Drosophila melanogaster: one gene and its partners. Changing the gene in region 4 together with the main gene of any one other region gives a genetic interaction. Each region holds a gene or a part of one and is shown on either strand. Other genes may lie near its edges.

Region 1 (7,913 bases), on a different chromosome or scaffold from region 4:
TTTTCCATGCAGGTAAATTGACAACTAACCATTACAGTTTCCCCTTCGACGATGGGCGAGCTAAACACGGGCTTCGCATGCTTGTGCTCAACGAGCTGTCGTATATGATTGATGGGCACTTTGCGCGTGAACTCCTGAAGCTCCGGCTCGAAGAGATTGAAAATTACCTCCCAAGTACGTTGGAGATCTCGGCAGTCCAGGTATACGGCTGCAATAAGGGCCTCCAGAACATCCCCCAACGCCTTTGGCACATCCACGTTTGTGGACATGTTGAACTCACCTTTTGGTGGGACTCCTTTCTCTGCTTCCTGAGAAATGCATTTATTTGCATGCGGTAACTCAGTCATATCCAATTCGTCATCCAAGTCCAGCGGAGTCGGCTGAACATCAGCTTCCTCGAGCAGAATGCGCACATAGTTGGTAACCCGGTGACCCTGGCTCTCCTGGAAATTCACGAATTTGGATATGATCTCGGAGAGCTTTGCGTTCTCCGCTAGGATAAAAAAGTGCAACCGATGCCGCACGCAAATGCAGGCCAGCGTAGTATTGTTGACCAAAGCGGAACGCAGATCTGTGAGGGCGCCCGGATTCATTTTCGTATTGTTCTCGAAAATATAGGCAGAGATTAGAAAGTCGAGTATGGCATCGCCAATAAATTCCAGCTCCTGATAGGACCCAGTGATGCGATTAGTGGGATACGAGGGATGGGTGAGGGCCTGCAACAAATATCGTCGATCCTTAAACGTGTAGCCAAGATTTTTTTCCAAATAATAGTGATTTATGAGAAAGCCGTCAATTTCTGTAGTATTCACGTTCGCCCGCATTTTCTTGCCGCCCAGTTCGAGGTTCAGTAACTGAGTAAGCGGCTTGTCAATATCCGCACGGCAAATCTTGAAGTACTCTAGCATCTTGAAGGCATGCTGCAATCCGTAGTTCTTAACGATTACGCCCAATAGCGCCTCAAGGGTATCGGCTATCACCTTGTTGGGAATCGTGACCAGTCCCACGCAGAAGTTCACCTCGGATGAAAAATCGGCACCGGCATAAAAGGACTGCCCATTTGCTCGACATCCCTCCACGAAGCGGTTGTAGTTGATATCGCTGCAGTTGCCCTTCACCAGGGACTCCTCATCGCCGAGAGCCAAGTCACGGAGATTGTGTGGGCCAATAATCTTTGCGAATTCCGGATTTTCTCGCCACAAGGCTAGAACATTGTGGGGCAAACTGATGCCAGGTGGAAGCCATGTGTATCTAGGCGTAAACTGAATGGTGTTGAGCGTTTTGGGAATGTCCGCGTCGATGAGGCAGAACAACAGGTTACGATTAGACACAAGCTTGGATTTGACCTCTGTAAGAGTGCCCTCATTCCAATCCGAATACTTGCTGGCCAAGTAGAGCGTGGCACTAAGTTTTAAGAAGGAATCGCCCAGAATCTCAAGGCGTTCCATGTCGAAAACATCCGCTGCGCTCGAGGCAGTGATTGCAGCCAAAAACTCGCCCTGCTCCGCTGGCGTTATATGTTCTTTGGAAACAGTTTTTTGCAAAATGAGCAGTGGTTTTACCTTCCCGCGGACAGTCGGTTTCGACGGCATCAAAGCTGGCACGTTTGCGTTAGTCTTGGCCGGAGTTCTGTTGCCATAGATATTACCCGTGGGCATATGGAACTGATTTTTTGCCCAGTATTCCTTATCTTCAAAATCCATCTCATTCATCTCACATACATTACCAACGCTAAAATGATAGTAGTAGTCCAGCTCTACGGGATACGTACTCAAAAGATTTCGCGACAGATCAACCGGCTCCATATACTTTTGCCAGGGATTTTCGAATTCTGTTATTTCAAGATTGGCCACGGACGCCTCAATGGACTTTGTGGGCATTGGCTCTAAAAGGGATTTCGGCTCCTCGATATCCTCAGTTGGTATGACATTGCCCAAGGGGTCGACATTCCGCTTTAGCGAATAATCAATTTCTAGTGGTCTGGGCATGTAATCAGTTCCATTAAAAGGCAGCAGATGGAGGTTTAAATACGTATTAAATCGCTTACGTAAGGCCTCTGCGTGGAGAAGGAAGTACATGCGGTTTAAAATGCTGGGTAGGAAGATCAACTTAAGCCATAAATCCCCAGGAAAGTTAAAATTGAAGCATAGCTCCGGAATCAAAATAACTTTCATCTTAGCCTTGCTCTTCGCGTTGAACTTTCCACGATTATGAACGTAGAAAGTGAGCTGTTCCGTAAGGTCTCTGACCTCGATCATAAACTTATCCTTGTGAACAACATCACCAATGCGGTTGCCGTACTTTGACATGGTAAACTCGTAGTAGGTCTTGTCCTGTTGGTTCTTTTCCATATAACTTAACGGTGTTAGCTCACGGTGCACCTTTGTGACCAGCATGGGCTTATCATAGTTGGCATACCATTGTGTAACAATTTTGCCCTCAAAATCTTCAGGACGTGGAGCAGGTTGTTGCTCGCGTTGCTGTACATTTGACCCATGACTTTGCGGTAGTCTTCGGAAGTTGGTCATCAGTTCCCAGTCAAAGCATTTCTGTTCACCCGCACCCAGTATGAGAGGAACTACCAGGTAGGAGTTCTCCTTGCTGCGACGATCCAGCACAAAGAACGGATGCCAAATCTTCAAGATATCGCGGAATACCATTCCGTGAAACTGATGGAGCAGCTCCAGCTGTTCGGAGTTCTGGATAATTACTTCAAGTGGTGCATTGGCCACTCGAACGTGTAGCTTACCCTGATTGCTAAACAGGGGCATCTCTGCAAGGCGTGGCAGCTTGTTCCGCAGCAATATAGCATAATTTCTTGGTGTTTGGAGATTTAAATACATGTGTTCCGTGTACTCACACGATTCAAACTGCGGCTCCAAAAATATTTCGTAGGCATAACAGATTTCACCTACCCGCGGAAGTGCGTCGTAAAACTCTAATGGACATTCGGTCTTGTAGGTTCTGTCCTTGCTCTTATCGGCCTTGTTGACTGTCGCAGTCACTATGGTTGAAAGATTAATATAAGTAAACATATCTTATGCGAGTTCTTGTGAACCCACCACTATCGCCATACTTATTCCAGTGCTCAAAATGAACATCAGCAATAGAGGCTACGCGCTCCTTTAATGTTTTGGGCACGAATCTCTCGTTTAACTCTCCCAAACTGTAGAGTACTTTACACGCTTTGAAGGCAGCTGATATTTTGGCTGTTTTAACATTGTCCATGGGATCGCTCTGAAAGAAATGAAAGCAATTAACTCTATTTGATTTTGCCATTTTCAATCTGAATCTCTAGCTTACGTAAATTGTGTCTCTTAGCATGCAATTTACTGGCATGTTGATTGAAATTACGTGCTTGCCCTTGGCAGAAACACCAAATATTCTATCACGTTCGTCTTCTTGCAATACATGGAACCAGGGGATCACAAAGCCAAAAGCATCCGTGGGAATTGTCTGGCAATAGCGATGCAGTATGGCCAGGGCATTGTTGGGAAGCAACACGGCACCGTTCTCATTGGTAAAAGGGTCAATATCGTCCTGGAAGTGCCCTTTGATTTCGTACAATTCTGGCTCAGTTTTTTCTAGAACTCGATCCTTTAAATATTCGGCAATGTCATTATGCGCTTTTCGATACTGATAAATTTGCTGAATTGTCTTTTCCCTTTCCTTATCAGCTGTGAACAGCACGAATTTGGCCTCAGTGGTACGAGCCCGACCCTTTGACTGCACGTACATGTTAAAGGTTTTAACAGGATCAAGAATAAAGACATGATTGCAGGCCTGCACATCGATGCCTTCTTCTAGGACGCTTGAACATATCATAAGATTGGCATTACCGTCCCGAAACTGCTGAATGGCCTGCGAGACGGTAAGAGCATATTTTGAAAAATATCAGCAATTAACGATAATTTCCACACCTACAGATTTTTGCCATTTTCTCTCCAAGACGCTCTCAAAGTCTGGAGAAATATTGTTGCGGCCCACCATGAATTGGGGCGTGAGCACGTTTCGCAGCTCAGGCGTAGACTGGATGTAGTTGAGCAGCAAGCCATAGATGCACTTGCAGGTGTAGCGGCGTTCAACAAAGACCAGACAGCAGATATCTTTGGGATCTTTATCAGCGAAGGATACCTTAAGACTCATCAGGAATCGCTGCACTTTCGGGGTGGAGAAGTTCATAATGACTTCCTCAGTGTTTACGTTGTCATCGTCGTCGTCATAAGTCATGTCTTGCAGTTTTTGCACCAGCAAGTGACGGATTTTCTCGCACAAGGTCAAGGCCGTCCTATGCATCAATTTCACGCTTAGCGTCTCGGCCTGGCGCCTCTTTATATCGAACTCAACAATTAACGAGATTATGGCTATGGAAGCTGCGTAGATGCCATACTCTTTCATCTGGTACAGAAAATCGTTGAACAGTTGCTTTACAAAGCTCTTCTTCGACGGATCCCGCAGGCATTGCAATGACTTTGACCTTCGGATCGGTTGAACGCCAATATTCATGAGGTCTAAGGATACATAGAACTTTTCAATTTCTGCGCTTATTAACCTTGTAACCGTGAGCACTTGCTCTTGATGTGGAAAGGACACCATGACCTCTGTGGGCTTGGTGGCGTACCTGAAAAGAATATGCACTTGTTGGGAAACTGTAGCTAAAATGCCACCCGCTCTTACAGCATCACGTTTTCCATCTCCTTGGTGTCGGACACGGTAATGATGTTTCCCCGATATGTGATCTCTAGCTCTTTAAGTTTCGTGGCCACGTTCGTAATTTCATTTCCCTTGATTAACACCCCGGTGAGACCCACCACGCGCGGCAATTTTGTTTGATTAGCGATAGTGAACAATCGCATGAACTCACGAAATGGGTGGTGACCAGTGCCGTGGTGGCACTCGTCTATGATGACAACGCTCAGGGAGCTTAAAGCCACGTACGTCTGGGTGACCATGTCCAAAAAGACCTGGGCTGTGCCAACAAGAACCTGTTAAGAACCAAAAATTACACATGTAGGTTTAATTCTGGAAGCAGTGTATTATTATTAACTATAAATATTCCTCGAATTACACTGAAAAGTCTAACATGAATTCAATGTAATAAAAATGACCATCAAATCTACTACTCGATGATCCAGAACAATCCACAAACTCAAGTTAATTTTAAATAAACAAATAAAATAAATAAATAAACAAATAAACATACTACAAAAAAAAAAAAAAACAAATAAAATACATCAATTGACGAAATGATGATTTTGTGATGGCTTAGCAAAACACGACCCCTTACGAGCCCATAAAAATGCTGATCCCAAATTTTTCGACTCAAGTGGTGATCGCAATTGCAGTGTGTAGTGGTAGTGTAGTGTTTAGTCCGTACGTGATCATATGCGTATATAAAAAATGCCTCCGCCATCCTATACTCACTTGGTTTTTTTTGATTTCATCACTCCACATTCCGCGCGTCCAGTCATCCACTCCCTGTTCACCCACATAAAAGCCAACCTTAAAGTTGGTGCACCGCCTGACGGCCATCGCCTGTTGTCGGGCCAATTCCACAGTATTGCACATGAACAACGCACGCTTTCCGCCGCTTTCGATGGGTCTGTGTAAACAAATCGGAATCCGATATAGGTATTACATATAATAATATATATATAAATGTAAGTATCGGATATAGGTAATACATATAATAATATATATATGTATATCCATTCGCTACTAACTTGTCAAAGTCCTGCGAGAAGCGCTTTAGGACCAGGATGGCCACGAACGTTTTCCCAGATCCTGTGGGCAGGTAGACAATGCCATTGCTCTTCGTTAGGTGGTCAACCAGGCGAAGTTGATAGCCGCGAGGCTGGAAAGGATTTTGTTAATTATTTTGCAATAAGCGAGAGCGCAAGCCAATTCATTTTACCTTGATTTCCACATCTTCCATATCTTCGCTCTTGGTTACAGAGTCTTCGGGATATTTTGATATTACAATTTGAAGTCAAATAATTTACGATTAAAGAACAAAGAAGCCGGTGACAGAGTGGCCAGCGGCTCTTATAAGATGCCTTGTGTCAAACGTATTAAGAATTGTGTTTCAAAACGGACTGGTCACACTACGCAGTGCGGTTCTTTGAACTTAAATTATTACCACAAACCGCAACATAAATAAATTTGTTTTGAAATGCTCGCTGCCAATAATATACCTTCCGGAAATAATAAACGTTTCCATTTTTATCGAAATCTGCAACAAAATAATAAGCATTTTCGGTAGTGTAAGTTCGTGAATTATTTATTATTTGAATTCTTAATCAATACCAATTGTTAAGAATATATCACATCACTTTTTGACCCATACTATCCTTAGATCATTTAGACCTTCGTTTGCAGCCCTCCTCCATACGAGTAAAGTTTCTTATTTCCTCATTTTTTTCCAAGACTTAAAATCTTGTCAAACTAATTAGAATTATACTAATTGAGTCTAATTAGAACTACACTGACGGAAATGAACGAAAATTCAATCGGGTAGTTTATATACATGGTGATTCTACTTTATTGATTATGCTCTTCACTTCTTATACATAACATTTTCTTATTGGCTTAAGGAGAATATGAAAAAGTATCGCTACGACTAAGACTACGCGACATCATCACGTCTGGCTCTTGTCATCACTTTTGACACCCTTTCCTCCGGACAGCAGGTCCTGGATTTCGATTATTGTCTTGCCCTTGGTCTCCGGCACGAAGAACAGAGAGTAGAAGAAGGCGATGACCGCGATCGCGGTAAAGATCCAAAAGGTCGGACCCGGCCCGATCGAGCTCTTGAGGATTGGGAAGAGCAGCGTGACCACGAAGGCCGACAGCCAGTTGCTGGTGCCGGCAATCGATCCTGCCACACTCTTCACATCCTCCGAGAAGAGTTCCGCCATCACCAGCCACGGCACCGGTCCGAATCCAATCGAGAAGAAGATTATGAAAATGCAGATACTGCTGATCGGCAACCAACCGAAATTGTCCATTGAAGCCGGATCGTTCTCCTTTAGCTGAAAGTACACGCCCATCAGTGCAGTGGACACGGCCATCAGAACGCCAGAGATAAGGAGCAGGATGCGACGGCCAGCCTTGTCGATAATGGCCACGGCAACCAGCGTGCTGGTCACTTGGGTGACTCCAATGATAAGCGTGGCATCGCTGCCACTTATGTCAGAGCCCGTATCCTCGAAAATGGAGGCGGAGTAGAAGAGAACGGCGTTGATTCCCGTCCACTGCTGGAAGACCTGCAGGAGCACAGCGATTCCAAGACCCTTCAGGACGATGGGTCGACGAAGGGAGGACAGAATGTTGACCTGCAATAAAAATAAGACCACGTATTATTTTCTAATCTTCACCAAAATCAATGTATTTATTAGGTATGATAAGTAGTATCTGCTACACTGATTACTAAATGGAATAATGGAAACAAATTACGTACCTGTGTTCATATGTAGTTTAACTACGAAATCGTTTAAGTTTAATGCAAACCCTATCTTGGTTCAAGTTATTGAAAATCTTAATGAATGAAAACAAAATATTATATACTATCTGAATTTACAACATTTCTTTTATCAGGGTAAGTATATGTATGTATCACTTCCGATTGTGTGATAATGGAAAGAGTAATAAATCTGTTAAAGCCCTGCGAACCCTTTATAAAGTTTCTTTATGCCTTCAATATCGATCGATTTTGATTGATTGATTGATTATTAGTGGAATGTTAACTAACCTGTGGCATATCAATCTGCTTCTGGGACTCCTCCAGGATCTCCTTGAGCTCGTCATCGATATCGGCATCCTTGCCGCGCAGCCACTGCAAGGCCTTGGCGGCATCATCGTTGCGTCCCTTCATGGCCAGGTAGACGGGTGACTCCGGCATGAAGAAGTGTATG
Region 2 (4,994 bases), on a different chromosome or scaffold from region 4:
GATTTTTGTTGTAGCCTCTTTTGTTATTTTTGTGATTTTTTATTTTTGCTTTGCGCAATATTTTCACCTTGTTTTTTGTGTGTATTATTTTTGGCTTTTATGATTTTTTCTTTGTTTTCGTTTCATTTTCTTCATTTTTTTTTGTGCAATTAAACACGTTGAAGAAAATATAAAAAAATAAATGGGCAAGAGTGAAAATGAGCGAGGAAAAAAATATACAAAACACGAAAAAAATGACAGCTTAAAAAATTGTCTTTTTAGCCCATGCAATTTTTATGGGCAAATGTTTATCCTGTGTTTTCTATTTTACGACTGCGCGTAATGGAATTGAATTGAAAGTGTTTTCTTTGGTCGCGCTGGAAAAACATTTGCGGCACAAGATATTAATTATAAGCTTTTTAGTCGTTGCTAGTATTTAGTGCTAACTTTTAAACCAAAGCATTTGGTGCCTTTTTAATTTATTATCGAGCTACCTTCTTCATATTAACTATCTAGTAATGTGGAAGAAACTTTAATCTTAGTTTTAGTTATTTTATAGTAACTAGCTTGCATTTAATTCAAATTGCAAACAGCACCCCTATATTATATTAACAGTTATCCTCTTGGCACCCTTAATTTCATAAAAAAAGGGGGTCCATAGACCCTATTCAACTGCCACCTTATTCATCTTGAAGTCAATTCAAATCCAATCTGCGCGATTCGAGGTGGTATTCGCAGGGCGAGCGAGCGAGATAGCTGCTGTGTGGGAGTGAGAGGGGGCTAGGGCGGTACAAAGGGTCGGGCAGCGCCCTCATCAGCTGTCAGCGGCAGCAGAATGAGGCCCATTTGATGAAGATGTTTCTGCAATTGTTAAGTGTATCTGGGCCCTTTCGATGTTTGCTGTTTGCTATTTGCTATTTGAGCTGGGAAATGGAAGGAGGCCACAACACATCAAAATTATACTCGATATGTTAACAAGTTCAGATACAAAAGAGATGACTGGTCCCAAGAGATGCCAGAGATAGCCCACATAAATAAGTATCTCGTGGCTGGTGGTAGCTCGTATCTCGTGTCTTGTATCTTGTATCTCGTGTCTTGTATCTGATGGATGCACCTATTGACACCCAATAAACAAGGCGAAAACAGCAGCTGCGACCGAAGTGCTTTGATTTATTTATCAGGGGCAAGAAATCAACGTTGGGTGTTTTTTTTATCAAATCTATCTAATTATACATAAACTTTTACTTTTTTACAGTACCAAGATCAGTTTGCAAACGAAAAAACATTGGCCAGATATAATTTGAGGCATAAGCCTCGCTTTTTTTGTTTCCCCCAATTGTTTCACATTTGGTAATGCAATAATTGAGTTAATTAGCCAAAAAGGGAAAACACTGTTTCACAAATGGATTAAGGGGACAAAGATGCTAACTTAATAAGTGACTTGTTAATTATCCGTCGGCGGCTGCATCTGCAACTGTCTCCCTCTCGCTCTCCGTCTCTCCACTTTCTCTGTCGCACCTGCAGCTGCCGGTAAAAGCCAGCTGGCTCCTGGCTATCCCTCTCCCTTTCACTCGTTCGCCCCATCTCACTTCCTCACGTGACTCCTTTGCGTGTACCGTTCACCGGATGGTGGCCAAAAAAAGCAAAAAGCCACGACAAAGGAAAACTTGGCAACGCGTTCGAACCTCGAACATGTTTGCTGCACCTGGCTTTATTGTTCAAAAGGGTGGCTTAAAAGGGGGAGGCGGTTTGCAGGGGGGGGGGGGGGTTTCTTACCTTGGCCAGCAAGAGCCGGCTTTTCGAAAGGGGTGCAAAATGGAAAAAAAGCACACACACACAAACACACGCACAACTAACACAGCGGACTGTGCACATGTAAACCCTCCGGTAAGGAGGCTCTACCCCTTTCGGTTTTTGGCCAGGCCGGCACTTTGCGAATCTATAAAAGTATCGGGCCGCATAAAAAACGAGCTCAGTTGTGAACGGTACTTTGTAACGGCAACCGGCGGCAGCACGCGCAACTAACGGTTCACTGGAAAAGTAGAGAAAAACCACCGAGGAAAAACTTAGTGGAAAAGCACCGAACATTCGTACCGTTCGTAGCATTTACTGCTCGGATCGACTGCCGCAGTAACTTGTCGCTCATCCTCGAAAGAAATAAAAAATAGAAGCTGCAACCAGTTCACATAATCCTGCCCCCCCCGGATGGCCTGCACAAGAGTCAACCATTTCATCACCCCCCTCGGTAAGTCATAACACCCCCCGCCTAGGATTCCCACTCTCAATCCCCCATCTATTCCATATCTCACCCACGGAGATCCCGGCAAAACCCCCCAAAAAAATAAATCCATCGGCTTAAAACTTGGCAAAACTCAGCTCCAAACTCAACCATGCTGAGCTGAACGTATTTGACTAGAGCGAGCACTGCAAAAAATAAAGGTGTACTTCATGGTGCGAAAAATTATCGCACTGAATATATAATATTCTCTTTTACTGCCGTTAATATCCATCCTCTATTTATAACAGAAACCAATCTTATTAGTTAGCCATCGCAGTTTTTGTTTTCAGTGCATGTAAATCTGCATCTGTCAGTGCGGCAGCAGCTTCAGCATCAGTATCTCTGTCTGCTTTGTATCTTTTGGGTTGTAAAAACATCTGTGCTTGTCGTTCGGCATCCGTATTTGCTGCCGTTTGCAACGGGCCAACTGCAATGCTACCAACCACTCCCACCCACCCAGCCAGCCACCAGTCGCACATTGCGTATACGCAACGTGGAGCGCGGATTTAACTAAAAACCGTTTGCGCCCGAGCTGTCAGCAAATGGCAAGCACTTTCCGTTGAAATCTCCCCCGGGTCACCCGGTTTTTATATATATATGTATGTGTGGGCTGCCCTGCTCCATTTTCGATATCTTTTGTGGGATCTCGGACAAGTGCTACTTCTGGCCAACTTCTGGCCAGAACTTCTTGGCCAGCTAGCTACTGGTTGGTTGGCTATTCGATTTCCATTGTCTCTTTTCGAATGGAAACCCATGTGCGTGTAGGCAGGAGTGGCCAACGATCGATGGAGAGGGTCTGTCTGTGCGTGTGGGCGGTCCTCGGAGCTCCCAGTTTGGCCATCCATCTTGCCACCAAACCCACCAAGTTCGTGTGTCTCCAGGGCGAGAAGACGCCACATTTGGCTCACTTTTGTTTACACTTTGATTTATTTACGCAGCCTCGAAAAGTATTTCATTCAATCGCAACGATGCGAATTTTATTCACTTTCCGAAATTTTTCTATTCTCGTGAAACTTTTGCTAAACATAAAAGTGCCAAAGTCTCGAAATCGAAATGGAAATCAAAACCAAGATCCGTTTCAGATGCACAAATCATGGACAAAATGACAGGGGAGTTGGGGCTGCCTTGGGCTTTTGTCACTGGTGAAGTTTTTGTCGAGTGCATGAAAATACGAAAAAATTAATGCGTTGGCTATTCTTGAAAAAATCATACGCAATGCATTTTAATTTTTCGTGTCTCTTGTTCGTTTTTTGTTTGTAAATATATAGTTTTTAAATGTGTCAAGTTTGCTTTTATACGCGTCAGAGTGAGAGAGGCAACGCCGAAAATAAAAACAATATAGCGAAACAAACAAAAAAAAAAAATGAAAAAAAGTCGAAAAAAGACCCAAAGACCTGATTTCAGGGTGGCTTAGTTTTGTTTACCCATTTTCGGGCCACTTTTCTTTTACTAACGTGTGCAGAAGTGAAAAAGTTTTAAAGATATATGGTAAAAAAAAGTTTCCCAAGTCATATTTGTATCAAAGGAAAGCTGTGAATTAAAATTACTATCCAAGTTGTAAGACTTTAATTACCATTTGCTTCCGTTTGCTGAACTAAATTTGGCCAAAACTTCTGACTGCTATTAAATTCAGCAACTGATTTGTGTCGTTCTCCCCCATTTTCCAGCGCAGAAGTCAACAGTTTATAGTGTTTAATCATTCTTAAGCTGTCTCCACCTCCGCACCACCCCTTCACCCCTTCACCCCTTCACCGCTCTTCCCTTTTGGATCACCTTTGACCTTCATTAGTGTCAGACCCTCTCGCATTCGCATTAATCTAGGCAGACATTTCAAGTTGAGCTGTTGCAAGACAATGGCTCAAGCAGTTTTGTAGTTTGTCTTGTCGGCCAAGGTGCACACGCACACACTCCAGATACAGATACAGATACATTGATGGTATCTTTGAGATACTCACTCGCACAAACGCATACAAAATAGAGCTCATAAATCAGTGCAGAAGCGAAATAGTGTGTAAAAAATTGTTGTGCAACTAGGCTTTTCTGAACCAAAAATGTTAACAAATATTTTCAACTTTTAAGCTAATCAATTTAACTTTCAAATAACAAGTATATATGCTGCTAGTTAGTGCTTCAGAAATTGAATAAATTCCGTAAGAAATTGCCGGATTATGCAACCATTCGAAGTTGCACCCCCGCCAGCCCCCACTGCCCACCGACCAGCCACGCCCCCGCCACGCTGAGGCGCCCCAAAGTCTCAAAGCGACACAAACAAAGAACTCGAGTGGCGTGTGTGTGTGTGTGTGTTGCACAAAACCGACGCGAAACGAAAAGTCCGAAAAAACAACACACAGTCGGCTGAAGGAAAAACCTTCGCGGCGGAAAAACAAAAAATAAGCAGAGCAGCGATGTGAAAAGTTGAATGCCTAACAACTTGAAACACGCTAAAAATGCGAAAAAAGAGATCCACACACAAAAAAAAAACAATAAATAAAGAAAAACAAAAGTCCAAAGATGGAGCACACAATAACTATAACAACAAGAACAATGAGTCGGAAAATGTGGAAATGTCTTGGGAATCTTGCAAAATGGATGAAGCTGCTGACGTTGTTGCTGCAGTTTGCTGAATTAGATAAAAGTTTAGGAAATGTTTATGCTCGAACTAAGGCGCAGATGAATAGCGCAGGAACTCCTTTTACCAAATACCCTCGATGGAGCAGCCAAGGGTGCAAAAGTCTAT
Region 3 (4,263 bases), on a different chromosome or scaffold from region 4:
CAGAAGACGCACCCGAGAAGAGCGAAGAACGTTCTTCTCGGAGGGAGAACGGAGATTCAAGATTCTAATGGGAACACTGACAAATATTTGGGTGACGCAAACATAACCCCACTTACTCCTAAATCAATGAATCGTTATCTGTTCACCCTCTCTTTTTCTCTCCCTCTCTTGCACTCTTTTTGCTTGTCTGTTTGTTTGTGTGCGCGACGCGCCTGATGAACGGTAAAATCGGCAAATTAAAAACAATTGATATCAAAAGTGTTTAATTGAACATGGTTGGTCATAAAAAAAGGAACACAAACACCAATGCAAGTGCATTATTCTAGAATTGAGATACGACGGTACATAGATACATATTCTAGGGGCGCGCACACACCGACGCACAAAAACATTAAGTAATATTTACTCAGCAACGACAAAACGCGCATGAGGTTGCACGGAGCGGGGGTGCTCAGTTTCCGGTGGACACAATAACAACAACATTAAACACGCACAATGCACTTTAGTTAAACAATCAAATTGTACAATAATACAAAAAGAAATATCTCTTTTTGCCCAGGTTTAGCCCATTAGACCAAAGCGCTGTTCTAGCTGTCGCATTCACGCACGCACTTGCCCGTCCCGTTGTCCCGCTCGCACTTGTGCGCGGCAATGCGGCGCTTGGCTGTTGGAATTTACCAATATTCCAATATGGCGACGCAAGCCGCCGCTACTGTGCGAGCAAGAGGGCACGACATGAATCATGCTCTCGCGCTCTCCGCTCAGCGCCTCTCCCCATTGGAAAGAGCGAGAGGGCCAGAGACACGCAGCGTTGGAGCACCATTTGCAAAAAAAAATCGCTCGCTCGCATGCAATGACGAAAATTATTTTTATAACATCTCCTAATTCGCATGGGGAAAATGGGCAAGGACCGGGCCTTACCTTGTCGCAGAGGGTGCGAACTTGTGTCTCTGTCAACTGATTGCATTCGTTCAACTGCTCAATCCATTGATCAAGATCTTTTGTTGTTGCTTTATCCTCCATCGCAGTTGTGGTGGAAGAAAAAGTCTCGTCAATCTTTGTCGATTCAATTTTGACGGCTTTTATTATAACTCAGGGGTGCAGGAAAATTAGCAACTACTGTTGCGTTCGATTGCCAACCGCGTATTCACTCGTTTATCTCCACACAATTGCCAATCGAATCAACTCGATTTGGGCGATTTTCTTCGTATTTTTTGTTCACAAAAGAGACGACGACACGATATACGAAGGGAAAGACTGCCCTCGGTGTGACCGATTGCCGCGAAACGCTTAAGAACGCGCTGTGTGTGTGTGTATCGATTAGCGATGCATGCTTGACATTTCTACAAAAATACCGACTAAAACTTGTGGATGGTATCCTTACTATTTGGCCAACAGTTACCAAGTAAAACTAGAAAATAAAGTGGGATCAACGCTCACCGTTTTTTTTACATTATTACGTGATAGTGACAAAATAAAAGTATGTACATAGGCATTTGGGCAACAAGATATTGGGATTGTTTTAAAATCCTTTAGTAGTCTTTTCATAGATGTGCATTAGCGTCGATTATTTCTTAAATAATAGCACAATTTGTTTTAAAACTAAACTTCAATATTTCTGGGGTTCTTTAGATATAATAATATTAATACTTGGTGTAAAAGTATTTATTTTTTTTATATATATTTTAAAGTTTTTGATATTATTATTTGACGTTACATTTTACACGTATTATTTGTAACAGAAAATTCAAACTATCGATAGTTTTGTCCTGTCCAACACTGAACGCTCGCTGACAGTTGGCATCTTAGCGAGCACTGGAACCGGAACTGCCTCTTTTTCTGCCAGCTTGCAGCGCCTTTGGACGTGTTTCCTTCGCGCTCCGTAGCAAATAATATAAACTCAAGATGTCCGAGACCCTGCAATTGCGCGGTACCCTCATTGGCCACAATGGATGGGTCACCCAGATCGCCACCAACCCCAAGGATCCCGACACCATAATTTCGGCCTCCCGTGGTAAGTAATCGCCATTGAAATTCTTCGGATTTATCTGGTAGCACGTGCGTATATTAATGGCCACCATCTCGATTCGCAGACAAGACCCTGATCGTGTGGAAGCTGACCCGCGACGAGGACACCAACTACGGCTACCCCCAGAAGCGTCTCTACGGACACTCGCACTTCATCAGCGACGTGGTGCTCTCCTCCGATGGCAACTACGCCCTGTCCGGATCCTGGGATCAGACCCTTCGCCTGTGGGATTTGGCCGCCGGCAAGACCACCCGTCGCTTCGAGGGACACACTAAGGTGGGATAAGATTCCAATTGCATTTAGTTCGTTTAGGGAACTGAGATTTTGAACCGATCTGTACCGGCAAAAGGCTAAATGTAAGGTTAGGAGTGAGGTTAGGCCCGCCTTTGCCGCGTACAAATCGAAAAAATATATATTGCGCCTATGCGAGGCAGAATTACTGGTTGACATCTGTACGACGTACGCTTCACCCTTCGCTCGAGTCTCGGCTATAAATTGCTTGAAGCTCCATCGTAAGTAGGCAAACAATCTCTGATACCCATTGATTCCTAATTAGTTGCAAGAAACCCATCTGGATTCCGTTCACTGACTAATTGAGTTGGGACTATGCCCATTCAGTTGGTCAGTGAAATATCCAGTAAATATATTATTTTTATGAAAACCATACCAATACCATTAGCTAATCGTCAAATGCTTGTTCGCTTTCTAGGACGTTTTGTCGGTTGCCTTCTCGGCCGATAACCGTCAGATCGTGTCCGGCTCTCGGGACAAGACCATCAAGCTGTGGAACACCCTGGCTGAGTGCAAGTTCACCATCCAGGAGGATGGCCACACCGACTGGGTGTCGTGCGTGCGCTTCTCGCCCAACCACTCCAACCCGATCATCGTGTCCTGCGGCTGGGATCGCACCGTCAAGGTCTGGAACTTGGCTAACTGCAAGTTGAAGAACAACCACCACGGCCACAACGGCTACCTGAACACGGTGACCGTCTCGCCCGATGGCTCCCTGTGCACCTCAGGTGGCAAGGACTCCAAGGCCCTGCTGTGGGACCTCAATGACGGCAAGAACCTGTACACTCTGGAGCACAACGACATCATCAACGCCCTGTGCTTCTCGCCCAACCGCTACTGGCTGTGCGTGGCCTACGGACCCTCGATCAAGATCTGGGATCTGGCATGCAAGAAGACCGTTGAGGAGCTGCGCCCCGAGGTCGTTTCGCCCACGTCGAAGGCCGATCAGCCCCAGTGCCTGTCCCTGGCCTGGTCCACCGACGGCCAGACTCTGTTCGCCGGCTACTCCGACAACACCATCCGCGTCTGGCAGGTGTCTGTTTCGGCTCACTAAGCTACTGACCTTTGTAACGGGCGTCAAATTTGTTTAGCTAAAACAAAAATAAAATTTAAGCGTCCTTAACTGAAATTTGTGTATCTTGTAGCGGCTGAATTAGTTTTAACTTTAGGCTTTGGGCTATAGAGTTTTCTCCGGATAGATGGGAATAGTATAAACAGTGGGACAATTTAGTTTAGGCAGAAGATAAGTAAATGTTAATAAAGAAAACATTTTATATAAACTTTAATCGAAAGTGGATGTTTTTAATCCCTAAACTACAAACCAGATCATTTCATTGAAATCCAAAACGAATAATGTTGAGAAAAACAATTAGAAATTGAATTTAAGTAGCAAAACGAAATGTTCTCGTTTCGTATGCATTGTTTTATTCGTAAAAACATTTCGACATTTAGAAAATGTTTTCTTTTACACGTATAACAAATAAATTAAATAAATAGTTACGTGATGATGTTACCCTGACTGAGTCAGTGACTGTGATGATTTTCGTGTGCGAATTGGAAAAACGGAGTGCACGGCAATGTGGCGGCGGATGCAAACATATTTTGTTTAAACAAAACAACATTGACTAACAAACAACCTTAATATTAAGACAAATGATGAACGCATTTTCGAGTGATGAATGTGTATGCATGTCTGTAATGGGATGAATGAACGCTGCCTTTGGACAAGTAACAAAAAGGTCAAAAGGTATTTAGCAAAATGCCTAACTAGAAAAATTCGGGCACTTTCGTTTGTTTTTCTTGGGGAGAAGGAAATTTTTAGGAGAAAAGCTGAAGAGCATTTCTTAGCAGGCACTCTTATCTATCGTTTTTCATTTGGTTTTGATTGAATTCGAGCGTTGCACAACTGCAGGCGCAACTGGTTGAGATTTGGCTGGGACTTT
Region 4 (7,670 bases):
TTGTTTTGACTTAGCTGATGTCGTTGTTGTTGCTGCTGCTGTTGCTGCTGTTGTTGCTGCTGTTGCTACTGCTGTTGCTGCTTCTGCTGCTGCTGTTGTTGCTGCTTCTGCTGCTGGTAGAGGCTCCTTTGAATTTGACTTCCTTCTCTTCTTTAAGGCTCCGTCGATGTTTAAAGATGATTTTTTTTTTTTTTGCACGTTTTATTATTTTTGTAGTCCAGTCAGATTTTTTGTTTTTTAGCCATTTATTTCGGCATTTATGCTCTTTTGGCATATACACTGCACTCTATTTATGAGCTGATTTAATGCTATTAGAGCATTTATAAGGCACTGTTTTCAGGCACTTTTTATTTAATTTATGCTCTTATGGCATATACACTGCACTCTATTTATGAGCTGATTTAATGCTATTAGAGCATTTATAAGGCACTTTTGTTATGCACTTTTTAATTTCACAATTGCTGATGTATGGCCTCAAGCACGCCTTACCACAATTTATAATGGTACACAAAGCAACCTTTAGCTATAGACTATAAGGTGCTTGTTTTAAAACATAAAAGATTCTTTTGTATCTTTTGCTTTTTATATTTATACTCTGTTCCTTACCTTTGGTAGGGGGAAACAAGAGTCACTTATTTTTGCTACCTTTAGCTGTAAGATGCTTAAAGGAGCTGGCCTTTCTCTGAGTTCCTTACCTTTGGTAGGGGGAAACTGCAGAGTCGATTAAAGGCTCGATTGACCAAATGTAAAATCCCAAATAAGAAGACTTTACTCGTTGAGTTTTTGTAAGAAACTGATTTTATTTGGAAATATCTTCGGTTTAAATAGGTGACATGAGAATCGCATCTTAAAGTAAATGGCCTACGCAGAGGCCTAAGTAAATAGTCCCCGCCTTATCGAGGTCCCACGCTCGGGCACATCTGCCTATCTTGAGCGGCGAGGACCTTATCTGTGGTCTCCCACTAAGGGACTATTTTAGGAGGCGGGGAACGATCTCAAGTGACTGACTCATGTAGTGTGCACTTAAATTACATGTTTTTGAGCAATGCACCCATGTCGCCTTAGATAACAAAATCCTAAATATAATTTATCGCTCTCGATTCATTTACATAAGATATGAACGGAGCCCAAAATTGTAAGTCTTTAAATATATTCGTGTTCATGTGTGAACAGGTAGAAAAGCAGACAACAACAATCAGTCAATTGCCTAAGCTTATTAATTTGTAAATCTATTTTAAATACAATATCAAGAAAACTTATGTTCGTTTGGTTTCAAGTTAGTTAGTTAGGAATTCTTCAGGTCGGGATTTATTTTCCTATCTACATAAGGTGAGTTATAATAAAAGCTTTAAGCTTCTTCGATTTGGTTGGTATGCTTAGTTTTGCTTTATTCAAAACTAGGAATACTATTTACATAACGAATTTTTGAATCGCACTTCAAAACAAAAGATAAAACTGGTCACACTTTAATATTTCAGTTATTCAAGTATGTAAACAATGGAGCAATTTTTAAGCTAAACTTTTAAATAAAATAGTCAATTTATTTTTTTATTTCCTCACAATTCGAAATACACCGCAGTGTGAACGCCCCATTTGCGTGGATTTAGTATTTTCTGTACCCACATTACGGCCTGGCAACACTGGCACTTTCCTCAACAGCTGGCTTATCTTATCTGCTTCTGTGGTATTTTTTGGGTACAATTCGGATATTGCATTGTTAATCTCGGTTTATTGAGTCCCAGTGGCCGTGATTTGTGCATCGACCAGTTGGAAGAGAGGGAGCAGTTGATCTGCGAATAGTTCCACGCGCTGGCACCCATAGTTTGTATGCATTGCACTTAGTCTGGCGATCGGTTGGCGAGGCGAGAAACAACCTGTGGCAGCCAGCGGATGAGAACTGGATTCGATAGGAATCGACACGTTTGGACCGGACAGGATGAGCTGCTTTAGTGCGATGAGTGCCCCGCTGCTGGGCGAGATGGAGCAGACCATTGGTATGCTGGAGCGCGGCACCATCGTGACCAAGTTGTATGGGAAACAGCGTCGTCCGGATCGCCGCCACCTGATGCTCATACGAGAGACACGACAGCTGCTCTGGGCAACGGTGGCCACACAAACGCCACGCACCGACTACGAGGGCGCCATACAGCTGCGGGAGATTCGCGAGATACGGGTGGGCAAGCACTCGAAGGAGTTTCGCCTGTTTGCCGACGACTGTCAGCGCTTCGAGTCCAGCAAGTGCTTTGTCATACTGCACGGCAATCACTTCAAGCTGAAGAGCTTCTCGGTGGTGGCTCTGTCGGAGATCGAGGCCGACAATTGGGTGCGGGGATTGCGTTACATGGTTAAGGACACACTGGGAGCACCCTATCCCTTGCAAATTGATCGCTGGCTGCGTCGCGAGTACTATCAAATCGAGAATGTTAACACGCATTCCGCCAAGGCCACGGAACAGTCGCCAGCCCAGGTGACCATTAAGGACTTTAAGCTCTTTTTGGCCGGAGTTAGCTGTAAGATGACCACCGGCAAGTTCATGGAGCACTTTACCGAGGATGTGCGGCGCAAGCACGATCTCAAGTTTGATGATTTCTCGCGGCTATATCAGAAGTTGCTGCTGCCCAACGGATTTGCCAGCGTCTTGTCCGGATCGGGAGTGGCCAACTTTCCCTATTCGGAGGACCAACAGGTGGTGCGACCGGCGGAGCTGAAGCAGTTCCTCGAGACGGAACAGCGCGATGTGAGCGCCAGTGAGATCAGTAGCGCAGCCATTGCCTCCTTCATTCGGGACTTTGTTCAGGACGTGGAACGTGATGTTCAGGAGCCGTATCTCACCTTCCCGGAGTTCGTCGACTTTCTGTTCTCCAAGCAAAACGACCTGTGGAACAGCAAGTACGACCAAGTGTTCATGGACATGAACCTGCCGTTGTCCTCCTACTGGATCGCATCGTCGCACAATACCTACCTGACGGGCGATCAGTTCTCCAGTGAATCCTCCTGCGAGGCCTACGCCCGCGCTCTTCGCATGGGCTGCCGTTGCATCGAGTTGGATTGTTGGAACGGGCCCGACAATCTGCCCTACATATTTCACGGCCACACCATTACCTCCAAGATCAAGTTCATGGATGTCATCAAGACGATTAAGGATCATGCGTTCACCAGTTCCGAGTATCCGGTAATATTGTCCATAGAGCAGAATTGCTCCCTGGAACAGCAGCGGAATATGGCGCAGGCCTTGATCGAGGTAAGTTGACCTAATCGAATCTATTAATAACAACAATTTATATATTCCATGCAAACAGGAGATCTGCATGTTTGCTTTTTGATTCATTCGCTGTAATAATGAGTTCTTTTATGGCTTTCTGTGAGATTGCCTAACTTAATATATAATTGAAATGGATTTTGTATATTTCGATAGTTGGGAATATGTATGACAATATGAAGAATTCGCTTTTTATTCGTTTGAATCTAATTATAAATGTAACAGAGCAATATTTTTAGTTACTTAGATTTCAAGACGATGGTAATTAGATATTTCTTGATGCTTTAAGTATTAATCGCATAAAAATCCATTGACTTATACCTTTTATGACCCATTACAGGTTTTCGGGGATATGCTGCTTACGCAACCTTGTGATCGAAACGAGCAGCACTTGCCATCGCCATACCAGTTGCGTCGCAAGATAATCCTGAAGCACAAGAAGTTGCCGCAGTTTGACGACATCGCGAATGGGATTTCTAGCACGGGTTCACTGGGCCATAGATCATCGTTGGGCGGAGCGGGCGGTGGAGCGCATGGGGAGAACGATGGCGAGAATGTGCGCAAGGTGTTCAAGGAGGGACTGCTCTACTTCAAGGATCCGGTCGATAAGTCCTGGAATCTTTATCAGTTCGTTCTGACCCATCAGGAGCTAATCTACTCCTCTGAGATCAACGAGTCACGCAACGGAAACTCCGAGGATGATGACTTTGGGCTTTCTTCGTCGTGCTCCCTAAACAGCAATATGCAGCAAAAGCAAAAGGATACCTCGGCCAACGATGAGCTGCACTTCGGCGAGAATTGGTTCCATGGGAAACTTGAAGGTGCGTTTATTGGTTGACATATATGCAGTATATTCCATTTGTTTCGTTAACAATTTGCATTTTAGGTGGCAGAAAGGAGGCTGATGATCTACTAAAGAAGTACAAACACTTTGGCGATGGTACATTTTTGGTTCGGGAATCGGCCACGTTTGTGGGAGACTATAGCCTTTCGTTCTGGCGACGTAATCGCCCGAATCATTGCCGCATCAAGTTAAAGCATGAAAATGGATCGATCAAGTACTATCTAGTGGAGAATTTTGTATTCGATTCACTGTACTCACTGATCGTTTATTATCGCAAGAATATGCTGCGTAGCTCAGAGTTTTCGATTATACTGAAAGAGCCAGTTCCGCAGCCGAAAAAGCACGAGGATCAGGAGTGGTTCCATCCGAACACCACCAAGGAGCAGGCCGAACAGGGTCTATACCGGCTGGAAATTGGTTCGTTTCTAGTGCGGCCATCGGTGCAGAGCATTAACGCTTTTGTCATTTCGTTCACAATCAATCGAAAGATCAAGCACTGTCGCATTATGCAGGAGGGACGCTTGTACGGCATCGATACAATGAACTTCGAGTCTCTGGTCTCGCTGATCAACTATTATACCCGAAATCCACTCTATCGCAATGTTAAGCTCAGCCATCCGGTGTCGCAGGAGCTGCTGCGTCAGGCGCTAGCGGAGGCGGCACAGGGTGATCATAGTGGCGGTCACGATGACAACGGTGCCTCCAACTACATGGGCTCCAATCTGGAGGAGAATGTCACGTGCAAGGCGCTCTACAGCTATAAGGCGAACAAGCCAGACGAACTCTCTTTTCCCAAGCATGCCATCATAACGAATGTCCAGAGGGACAACTCGATGTGGTGGATTGGAGATTATGGTGGCATGATCAAGAAGCATCTGCCGGCAAACTACGTTAAGGTGAGATGCATATATAGATTTATTTGAAATTCAACTATATTCAACTCTTGAAAATTCCAATGTCTAGGTTATCGATTCAACTACCGAGGACTACAATTCGCTGAACGAAGAGGGCACGGATGGACGCACCGATTCCATTGAGATTTTCGGAGCTGTTGCCTCGCTCTTTGAGTCCAACGATCCGGGGATTATTTTCAAGCTGCAGATACAAACGCCAACGATGCAGAATCCGTTTGTGATTGGCTTCGACAATCAGGAGACGGCGTACGAGTGGATAAAGGCAATCCAGGAGGCAGCCCTTATCGCCAGTCAGCTGGCATCGGAGAGGCGGAAAAAGGAGCGCACTGCCCGGGTGGCCAAGGAGATGTCCGATCTGATTATCTACTTCCGCAGCGTGCCGTTCCGCGAGCACTCGTGGATATTTCAGGAAATGTCGAGTTTCCCCGAAACGAAGGCCGAAAAGCAGTTCTTCCAGCAGAACACACAACTGTTTCTCTCCTACCATCGCAATCAGATTAGCCGAGTGTATCCGAAGGGTCAGCGCCTGGACTCGTCGAATTTTAATCCCATGCCATTCTGGAATGTTGGATCCCAGATGATCGCACTGAACTATCAGACAGGCGATAAGGCCATGCAGCTGAATCAGGCCAAGTTTCGGAATAATGGACAATGTGGCTATATCTTAAAGCCATCGTTCATGAAATCTGACAGCTTCAATCCGAACAATCCGCTGTGCGATGGCCTAAGCGAAGTTAAAGTTAGCATACGTCTGATAGCCGCACGTCATCTATTCCGGGGCGGCAAATCGAACAATCCGCAGATCGTGGTCGAATTGATTGGCGCTAGCTTTGATACGGGCGTTAAGTATCGCACCAAAGTCAATGAAAATGGTTTCAATCCGGTGTGGAATGAATCGTGCGAGTTTAACGTGCGTAATCCACAGTTTGCGATCCTTCGCTTCGAAGTGCAGGACGAGGATATGTTCGCCGAGACGCACTTCATCGCCCAGGCGTGCTATCCGCTGACCTGCATTCGCCAGGGCTATCGCAGCGTCATCCTACGAAATAAGTTCAGCGAGGAGCTGGAATTATCGTCCCTGCTGATCAACATTAAGATAGCAAATGTTACCGCACCGTAAGAGGATTGCTGAGTTAGCTGGATCAATATCAATGATTCCAAATCGAGTGTTTGCGAAAACAATTGCGCTAGATCAAAAGGAAAGCGAACTTAATTCGCAAAAGCAATTTATCAACAACTTGTACATAAGAACATTTCATCGAACTATGAACCTGATTCTCTCACTTGTAATTTGTCTAAAAAGCTTAGGATCTGAAACGTATGATTTAGATTTAGATTACTTTCTATACACATCAGCAGTTATGGTTAGTTCATACTATACAATGAGTATTCAAATGGTAACAATGAATTCTGAACTCCTGGAACTGAAATCAAGTTTATGTAATCCGTATAATTTGTACACTTTTCCATAACACTAAGCATTCAAGTCTGTTGTCCTCTAAATGTTGTATTTGTGCGTGAGATTGATTCAGGAGAATAGAATGATACGAATATGTTTTAACTATTCGTCACCTCATTATAAGCATAAGCAAACCAGATTTGATTTGATTTCGATTTAGGGAACTTGAGCTATTTCCATTTTACCAGTTTTACCATCAAAAGTTAAGTACATTAAGTTGATTCCAAAATTAGAAATAGAAACAATTCATAAACAGCTCAATTGGCATCAATTTAATGGGCATTTGATATTCAGTTTCAGGATCAGCTTTTCATAAGTATTATATTACAATCTTCTTAAAGACTTTTAACTGAAGAAAATAGACCACTTTCATATGTTATCTGGAAAACTATTTTAGACCTTTCTCTTAGCACAAATACTCAAACAGCATTTCAATCATTTAGCATTTACCTTTTTTATTTTCTCTTTTAAAGCTTAAAGTAATAATACAATTTATAAAAAAAAAAGGGCAAAGGAAATTTAAACCACTTTGATTACATATGTCTTCCAGTTGTTTAACAATTACGATATACCACATAATTGTGTCTATGTTATTTAACCACGATTGTTGTAGCTAATGTTACAAAAACTAAAAGTTTGCAAACAATATTAAAATAAAATGTAATTATTCAATTACATTTAAATGAACGTGCCTTAAAATTCGAAATGATCGAAATTTTAAATGTTTGAACGTTAACTATTGAAGTACACCTGTTGCTAAAATAACAAATATTTGAAAAATAATAATATAGCTCAAAGATATCTATTTTTTATAAAATCAAAGTTCTAACTTAGCTTCTTCTCTAAACTGCGAAATCTAAATATCTAAAGCCTAAGTTCAATAGACGTATTATTACTAAATGCATTATATAATTTATATATCTAGATATTCATAAAATGCACTAGTCGATTTAAGAAGTGGAAATTGTGCTCCCTATGCGAATCATTTAGGATTTTAATCTGAAACTATTTGCATTCCATACGAATGCCCCACTGAAACGATCGATATCATTTGTCTTGCACTCGCATTTAATTATTTAACAAACATTCTGCTGTTTCCATTCGCACAATAGTTCTAATTTGGACATTTTGCGCGTTTGAGCGCATTAGCAAATCATGCTTAGTATATATGTATGTGTATATGTACCCAAAATG

Evidence for each region.
Region 1: of sl (region 4) and Dcr-2, changing one enhances a phenotype caused by changing the other (phenotypic enhancement), as found in Drosophila melanogaster (one study listed by BioGRID).
Region 2: of sl (region 4) and ru, changing one suppresses a phenotype caused by changing the other (phenotypic suppression), as found in Drosophila melanogaster (one study listed by BioGRID).
Region 3: of sl (region 4) and Rack1, changing one enhances a phenotype caused by changing the other (phenotypic enhancement), as found in Drosophila melanogaster (one study listed by BioGRID).

What each region holds. Positions count from the first base shown.
Region 1 is NT_033778.4:17,575,492-17,583,404, forward strand, and holds the start of Dcr-2 (Dicer-2), read right to left. Parts: upstream 6,035-7,913; 5' UTR 5,936-6,034; coding exon 5,915-5,935; intron 5,855-5,914; coding exon 5,724-5,854; intron 5,603-5,723; coding exon 5,425-5,602; intron 4,986-5,424; coding exon 4,678-4,985; intron 4,622-4,677; coding exon 3,925-4,621; intron 3,862-3,924; coding exon 3,304-3,861; intron 3,238-3,303; coding exon 3,063-3,237; intron 3,005-3,062; coding exon 1-3,004. Other genes in the region: CG6484 (uncharacterized protein), read right to left, coding at 6,639-7,334, 7,751-7,913.
Region 2 is NT_037436.4:1,368,657-1,373,650, forward strand, and holds the start of ru (roughoid), read left to right. Parts: upstream 1-1,971; 5' UTR 1,972-2,224; intron 2,225-4,994.
Region 3 is NT_033779.5:7,824,812-7,829,074, reverse strand, and holds Rack1 (receptor of activated protein kinase C 1), read left to right. Parts: upstream 1-1,828; 5' UTR 1,829-1,905; coding exon 1,906-2,014; intron 2,015-2,093; coding exon 2,094-2,305; coding exon of another isoform or gene 2,306-2,314; exon of another isoform or gene 2,315-2,541; intron 2,542-2,738; coding exon 2,739-3,374; 3' UTR 3,375-3,728; downstream 3,729-4,263. Other genes in the region: mts (microtubule star), read right to left, coding at 922-1,023; CG7115 (uncharacterized protein), read right to left, coding at 4,192-4,263. UniProt on the Drosophila melanogaster protein: Involved in the recruitment, assembly and/or regulation of a variety of signaling molecules. Interacts with a wide variety of proteins and plays a role in many cellular processes.
Region 4 is NC_004354.4:16,348,650-16,356,319, forward strand, and holds the start of sl (small wing), read left to right. Parts: upstream 1-1,665; 5' UTR 1,666-1,936; coding exon 1,937-3,241; intron 3,242-3,599; coding exon 3,600-4,080; intron 4,081-4,145; coding exon 4,146-4,999; intron 5,000-5,066; coding exon 5,067-6,137; 3' UTR 6,138-7,670.